Tribolium castaneum: one gene and its partner. The protein of the gene in region 2 binds, or shares a complex with, the protein of the main gene of each other region. Links are inferred from orthologs where the notes say so. Each region holds a gene or a part of one and is shown on either strand. Other genes may lie near its edges.

What was found. The genes of interacting proteins can lie anywhere in the genome.
Region 1: ribosome biogenesis protein BOP1 homolog (region 2) and pescadillo homolog share a complex: the UniProt entries of both Homo sapiens proteins name them as parts of the peBoW complex. The link is inferred for Tribolium castaneum from reciprocal best matches to the Homo sapiens genes BOP1 and PES1.

The regions. Positions count from the first base shown.
Region 1 is NC_087395.1:18,780,140-18,784,248, forward strand, and holds pescadillo homolog, read right to left. Parts: upstream 2,735-4,109; 5' UTR 2,432-2,734; coding exon 2,408-2,431; intron 2,357-2,407; coding exon 626-2,356; 3' UTR 501-625; downstream 1-500. Other genes in the region: pelo (protein pelota), read left to right, coding at 299-387. UniProt on the Homo sapiens protein: Component of the PeBoW complex, which is required for maturation of 28S and 5.8S ribosomal RNAs and formation of the 60S ribosome.
Region 2 is NC_087401.1:14,822,193-14,826,335, reverse strand, and holds ribosome biogenesis protein BOP1 homolog, read right to left. Parts: upstream 2,801-4,143; 5' UTR 2,703-2,800; coding exon 2,607-2,702; intron 2,442-2,606; coding exon 312-2,441; 3' UTR 295-311; downstream 1-294. UniProt on the Homo sapiens protein: Component of the PeBoW complex, which is required for maturation of 28S and 5.8S ribosomal RNAs and formation of the 60S ribosome.

The DNA.
Region 1 (4,109 bases), on a different chromosome or scaffold from region 2:
AATTAGGTCTTAAAAATGCTGTTTTACATTTTATGCTCTTTTTGAGTTAAATTTCAAAGTATATACTTTTGGAGTCTGAGTTTCCAATAACAATTTCGTTCACGAGAAAATTGCATCAAAAATCCCTTTATTTTTATTTATGTTTCTTGTGTTACGTTTTTTTGTTTTGTTATAATTTTACGTGCTAAAAATTGACAAGGTTGTAGAAAAAATTGTTATGTAACTCAAAAATACTTAGATGGGGCTATACTGCTCACTGAAAAAAATTATGCAACTGACTATCATTTTTGCTTTCTAGAACTAGAACAATTGACCGGCATTGCAGCAATTCTCCGCTTCCCAATGCCCGAACTCGACGAAGACGATGAAAGCGAGACCGAAGACTAATCATGTCAAAAACACTGGTTGTATTCGCGTTTTTAACTCTTTGTTGATCATTTTTAAATAAATTAGGGAATTTGTTGTATATTTTTAATTGTTATGTGAATAATTGCTGTAGATTTTTAGTGAATTCCTTCAATTCTATTTATTTATAAGATGTACAATTAAGTAACAGGAAGATTACTATTTATTGCATAACTTAATCCACTGAAATATTTTATGTACTTTATAAAAAATAAAATAATTATGAAACTGACGCGCTTTTTTGTTGTTTCTTTTTCGCTTTCTTTTCTTCTTTTTGTTTCTCATCGTGTAATCGTCGCTTCTTCCTCAACAACCAAATCTCTTTCGCCCTTTCTTTGCGGCCGGCCATCATGCTCTTGTACAGTTTTCGGTGTTTGTTTTTAACCAACTTTTCCCTAAGTTTATATTCCTGCCTCTCTTGCCGACTCTTCTCCCAAGGAACTTCCTTGTATATTTCACCTGGAGTTACCTTTAATTTCTTTTTCACAGGCGCCGTTTCCTCCGCTTCAACTTCTTCATCCTCGTCTTCTTCTTCCTCTTCTTCAACTTGTTCGTTCGTTGTGTCTGCATTTTCAGTTTCTTCTTCTTCTTCGTCTGCATCCTCATCACTTTCTCCCTTCTTATGCAACTCCTCCAAAGCTTCAGGATCATACAGAGCCTTTTCCTCCGGAGGCATATACTCCTGATGCCGCCCTTCGTTAGTAAACGGCGATAAATGCGGGGGGAGAATCTCCCCCATAAAGTATTTATTAACAGGGAGGAGTTCCCTCGCATTAACACTATCAAAAATCCACTGGGGCTGAACGTAATATCGTGAAATGTATTGCTTCTCCATTGAGGGTCGATCAACAATTTGGTGCGTAATCGACTCGTCATTTTCATCAAACGTGGCCCCCACAAAAAGTAACTTATCCCACGAGACTTCGCCCCCGAAACAACGGATAATAAACACGAGAGGTTCTCTTGGAACTTCTCGATTCAAAAAGAACTTCAGTCCCTTGAAAAGTGTCTTCAATTTTTTTATTTTTTCAGCCTCAATTCGCGCCTCTTCGATTTTCTCCGGACTGTTCTCAGTGTTGAAATTATCAATTTCGACTTCGTCCTCAATTGCTGAATTCGTACTTTTGGATAGAGGGAAATTAAGGGCTGCCACACGTTCTGACACAAAAATCCCCTCGTCTACGATTTCTTTCTCACTGTCTGTTTGGCTCAAATTTGTGAATTTGGGAGGATAGTAAAGATTTAATTGGTGGTAGAGCCGGAAATTGACAAAACCCAACATAATCGTGTAAAACTCGACAAAAGTCGACATTAACTTAAAATCGACTTCGGCCTTGCTCTGGGGCTCGAACGCGAAATGGTGGGGCACAATCCACGTAATGGTCTCACCTTTGATTTCCGCTTGGTAGTAATACCCCTTGATTGAAATAAAAACTTTCCTTAGGGCCTTGGCCTCGATCACCGCGTGTAAAAACTCAATTGTGAGCCTCTGACACAGCGCACTCTGGTCGCGGGGGACGTGAGGGATTGACGGAAACGTACTGAACAAGAAACACAAAGTGAGACAGTCGTCCAGGTCGCGCAACGCGTCCAAAAACGTGGGGTATCGCTCTTTGACAATGTGGTCGAGTTTCAAAGTTGGGTGGTTATTCAGGTATTTCTTCAACGATTCGAAGTCTTTAACAGCTCGGGCACGCCCGACTTTCTTGTTGAAGATTTTGTAGTCGCGAAGGCGCCAAATCATGGGCTCGTGTAACAGAAATTGGATGTCTTTGACGTGGTAGAGGGTTTTGATACCGGACTGGCCCTTCTGGGCACGTTTGCGGTTTCGGGGCTCACGGGGGTAGATGCCCTTAAGGATGCAGATGCGGCGGAAGTCGTTGAGGGATAATTGGAGCTTTTTGAGGGCCGCTTTGCGGGTCATGAATTGGGCACCCTCGCCGGTTGTGTACTACAAAGTGATAATGAAACATTTGAAATGGTAAGGTAGGGGTGGTGTTACCTTCTTTTTGCGTTTGGAAACCATGTTTTAACAAAATAATACACTAAAACGTTAACAACTGGAGAAATGCCAACACGTGTTGTTTTGAGGTTAGAGTCCGCGAAATGACAGATCGTCCACGGTGGTAGGAGTGCGCAGAGACGAAAACTCGTCTCGGACGAGTCCAATCTTTAAATTAGGGGTGTTGGCAGAAAACAGTGGCGTGGCGTGTACTTACATCTGTAGGGAATTCGTCTTAAAGTTTAACATTTCAATATTACCAGTTATAGTAAAGATACCAGTAGAAACATTTTTTGCAATAAACGCGTTTTTACTCTTTACTCATTGTGTATTTTTATTTATTCGACCTCTCTGCTGTGTATTTTTAGGAAATCAACGTGTATTAGCATTAGATATGATTTTTACTATTTCATCTTGCAATTATTGAATAGAGGAAATTTTAACTACTACAAATTATGAATCTCAAACCCTTCTTGATCATAGAATAGTTTTTTGCTACGCCACTGCTCAATCTCCTCACTCATGGCCTCCTTGATGTATGGAGACAACTTCGTTGTTCAGGCCTGGCGCATCGATAAGCTTCAGCGGTTTTTTCGAGACCGTAGATGGCGCCCTATTTAGCGCACTGACGTTTATCTGACAAATAGCATTTGTGAGGTTAAATCCGACAAAAAAATTGAATTTAACAAGTACAATTAGCAGAAGAGAAGGTGAAAAAGAGCTTACAATGTAATTGTAAACAAATACAACAATAAATACAAAAACTCAAAAAAATTAATAAAGTAGTAGATTTTTTTCGGGAGTTTGGTGATTCACGAGCGGTGCGTGAGAGTGAGCAGAGGTCTAGACAGGGACTATAATTAACTATAATCTATGGCAGGGACTTTGGAACGGACGGTCCAGAGATACTCCAGCAGAGAGTAACGCAGCAGAGGAACGCTGGATCGAGCTTTTTTAAACCATTTCATTTGAAAAAAACGACATTCTTTGTACATTTTACTAAAATTAAATTAACAATAGCAGGTTTTGAAAATACGTGTGTGCAAAATAGTTTCATTTGCCTAAACAATGTATTGCAAATATCTGCTGATTAAAAGGTTGCAAATACCTTTCAGAAAACTTAAGCCATGTCTTAAAAATCACAGATTTGTAACGCATTCTACCTAAACCATTGGTAAAACCATATAGTATGCCTAATAAATGAAAGGTACTTTGAAACATCGTTTTCTTTAATATTTATAAACGATGACGAACCACCAATTCACCCTAAAATAATTTGTATATCTTCTGAAGCTGAAAATAAAAAATCCTAATGATCGTAAAATGATTTCCTGCAAGAGTTACACTATCCAAACGTTCGTTCAGGGCACAACTTTAGAATTATCCTCACATTTCCTACGTATTTCACGAATGCACATTTACATCTTTCAAATTTATTAGTCTTTAACCTCAAAATTGGTATTTGTCAAATAAACGTCAGTCCGCTAAATGCAGCGCCAGTGGAGAATCAGCCGAACTTAGCGATGCGCCAGGCCTGAACAACGAAGTTGTCTCAATACATCTAGGAGGCCATGGCTCCGCCTATCGTGGTCGTTTACAGAGTTTCCGAGCTCTACCACTAATTTTCGCACTAAAATTTCACATTGCCAGTTTCTGTTTAAATATAAACATGCATTTTTATTTTTCCATTAACTGCATGCGA
Region 2 (4,143 bases):
GGATTTTCCGAAATTTCTTTTGGGATTCATAGTGATTTTTTCGCAGTTTTCGATTCTTCTCCGTAGAAGACCTCCTGTAAAGTATATTATGTGTACAAGTGCCATCTATAATATATTTTTCTAGTTAAATAGAACGCTTATGTCTTGTGACTTAGACATTGTATACAGTATTCTGTCGTAATATACAAGTATTATATACAAGGGACTTGTCTCGACCTGTCTTCTTCCAACTTCCGAACATTTTCTTGGCAATCTTCCTCCTCAACCTGTCCCGCATTTCCAAACAACACAACATTTTCCGTAAAAATTTATTAATTAGAATACAACTTGATGGTCCCGTCGGCCCCCGAGGAGAACACCCACGGTTGCAACGGGTGGAAAAGCACCCCAAAGATGCCAAAATCGTTGTTCGTTTCGTGATCCTGCAGCCGTTTCAGGGGCACAATCAGTGGATTTTTCAGCAAGTCGTTGTACACCATCCCGTGACACACAATCAAGCTCTTATCATCGGACCCGGAGGCGAAAAGCGGGTACCGCTTATGGAAGGCCACCCCGCGGACCGCCGTCCCGTGAAGCCTCAAGGTCTGGTACGGCTTGGTGGACAAATCCAGGTCAAACCACAACATTTTGCGATCGTACGTCCCCACTAGAAGATTATCACCGCCTGGGTGTATGGCCATGGTGGAAATCCACTTGGAGTTCGTCAGCAGCTTCTTCATCAAGGTTTGCTTCACCAGGTCGTAGATGCGGACGTGTCGCTGCGTGGCCACAAAGAGGCAGGGTTTGGTCGGGTGGAATAAAACACACTGGACTAGGCCTTTGGACTTGGTGAAGGGGATTTGCGACCTGCGACGGCTGATCTGACTGATTAGAACCGAGCGGTTGAGGCCGTCGGGCATCACAGTGGCGAAGTAGTCGCCCTTGCCGTGCCACGTGACCTGGGCCACTTCCTTGAAGTGTTTGAGGGCGATTCGGACGCCTTGAGTGTACTCTTTCGGGTCGATTGATTCCGACCATTCGACGGTGGTTTTGATTCGTTCGCTCACGATTGCGTCGCTTTGGGGGGCGGTTTCGAGGACCGAATCCGTCTTGGAAGTGATCAAAGTGTCGCCAAGGTGCGGGTTGATTAGCAGGACACGGTTGGAGGCGGCGACAAGGATCAAGGAAAGGGCGGGGTTAGGGCACCACTCGACTGAACGGACCACGCCCCCCGTGTCAATCGTTTTGAGGCAACGCCCGGTATTAACCTCCCATAATTTGATGGTACCATCATCGGAACCGCTCACTAGGTACTGGCCGATTTTATCGGTACTTATGGTACGGACCATGTCGCCATGTCCCTTGTATTCAATCGAGAGAGTGGTGGGGAACGGTTGTAGGTCTTTCGGACTCGGGAGTTTGGGCACCAAAGCTTCAGGCTCGATGTTCAGTTTCATTTTAATCCCACGGGGGCACAAATACAAGTCCAAACAGCGCAAAAACCTCTCTTTTATGTATCGAGGGTACGCTGGAACGTGTCTCAGTGACTCGAACTTTTGTGGCACGAAATGTAATTTCCGTTTCCAGGGGGCGTTTTTATGTTTATTCCACTGTTTGAGTTCTTTTTCATCGAATAAATACTCCGGTGGTGGGTTATATGACTCGGCATGGCCAGGCAGGAGGCGCTTCGGTGCCGGTATGTGTTTGTGAATGCGCCTCATGTCTTCGGCCTGGTCATCGGTGGCCCACAACATGTAAAACTCGGGCTCTTTCTTCGCGCGCAGTTTTTCGGCCTCGGCCCGCGTCTTGATCCAGCCCATCTTCAGGGCGTGCACCAGCTTGGAGACTTTCTTGGCGTCGCTTTTGCTCGGCAGGAAGGAGCGCTTGTGTTCGGGGAATTTCCGGAGCGGTGTTTTCATCACCTCGGACGTGAACCATTCGATCCACGGGGCGTATTCGTCGAAGGTGGCGTCCGGGATTTGGTTGGCTTTGAGGCGCTTGATGAGGTCGATGTCGGCGTCGGAGAGGACGACGTTTTGGCCGGTTTGCGGGTCTTTGACGGTGCGCCAGAAGTCGGGGTCTTCCATGCGCTTGAGGAAGGTGTCGAGGAGGTCGCCCGACTCGGGCTTGATGATCTGGTTGCCGTCCCAGTCGTAGCCCAGGTGTTTGAAGTCGTCGTACCAGTTCATGGGGATGTTGCCCACGGTGGTGCGGATGTCCTCCTCGTCGGAGGTGTCGTGCGAGGAGTATTCGTCTCTTGCTGGGTTGGCGGTGTCTTCGGCGGCGTTTTCTTCATTCTCCAGCTCGTTTTCGTCGCTTTCTTCATCGGTGGTGTTTGAATCGTCTTCATCGCTTTCTTCAATTTCATCATCGGAGTCGTTCAAATCTTCGTCGCTTTCTTCAATTTCGCCATCGGAGTCGGAGCTGTCGGCGTCTTCCCCATTTACAACATTCAAAAGCTCCTAGAAAATTCCGTATTTGCTTTTTTTGGAAATTTCGCTCAAAAACAATGAACTTTAAATTATTTAATACAATTCATTCAAATTTAGGGCCAAAAATAGTAAAAAACGTGTTTAAATTCAAACAGTTTACGCGCCCCCGAGAATTTAGGAATCGCTTAAACTAACCTCATTCTCGACAGACTCTGCACCAGAATCAGGCTCGTCACTTTCCTCGGCCGATTTTTCTAATTTTCGTTTTAAAAACTGTTCTTTTTTGCCCATTTTTACGTTTGTTTATCGGCCACACATGCTAAGAAAGTTGGGTTAAGTTACCACATGTCCCTAGAATAACACTTTTATAGAAGCGGAACATAATGGTTGGCAATGAATTCCTAGCTGAAGCCATCTAGCCGCATCATCACGTACTAAAAATGGCGCGAATTTAAAATAATTCCGATTACTTTATATTTTTTTAATTTTTGCTCACGTCAAAATGATGCCAATACCTTATCAAATACAATTATTATGAAAATTTCTTAATTGTATTTGAAAAGGTGGATGCACAGACAGCACAGATGGAAGAATTTTACCCAACATGACACGATCACATTTAATGTTAAAGATATTTATTAAATCCATTAAGTTTACGAAACTAATAGTCGTCACCGAATCGATGATAAAGACATAGGTCTGGCACCTTATGTTTGCAACTTCTGTCTATGGGAGTCTCCTCGCAGTGTGACTCACTTGCGGTTCGATCTCAAAAAACTCACTTTTGGGATAAACGCACCTATCTACGTAAACCTTCTGGAGCTCATTACTACGTTATATTTTTGGAGATCATGTTGTTCCTAACCGATAGTAGGCAATAGTCTAACCTAAAGACGACACTTTGATCCACTATAATAATAAAAATTAACGTGATATTATAAAAAATAAACTCAAATTAAAATCAACAAAAATGGCGATTCAAGTAAAAAGTGAGTGAAAATAAAAATTATTTTTCTAATGTTATTTTCAATTTGCATAAGAAAATTCATAGTGTACGGTCATCAGGGCACTCAGAGGAATCGTTTGGTGTAAGTTTCAGCTTGAAAATCCAGAAGTAGTTAAAGTAAAAAATTACCAAGTTATACTTTATGTTTTATTACGTGGTAAAGTTAACAACACACGTTAACATACCCTTTATAAACGTTTAAACACCCTTTTTCATGAAAAGGTTGACACGAGAAGTGCATTTTTCAATAAATCTCACTGAAATTTATGTCGTTGACTCAAGGTAGATTTGTCTGTCCTTAAACATGTTCAATAATAATTAATAGCGCTCTAGAAGAGCAGGAAAGCACACAAAAAACATTAAAGTTAAAATTTAACACTTCAGAAGAGAGCATAATACACCCTAACCCTACTTTCTGAACTTTTGTCCTTATCTGGCAATAGCACATAATAAAGGTAGAGATTTCGACCCTAAATATCCTATCATAACGCTCTGAAAGGGCAGAGATGGAGACAAAATTCATAAAAGTGTAAATTTTGTCATTTTCGGGTGACAACATAACCCTACTTTTGGAACCTACCGAATTTTCAACAAAACGAAACAAACAAACAATGTGGCTATACGCATTGCGATACCACTAATTTTCGCACCAAAATTTCACATTGCCAGTTTCTGTTTAAATAAAAACATGCATTTTTATTTTTCCATTGACTGCATGCGAAACTT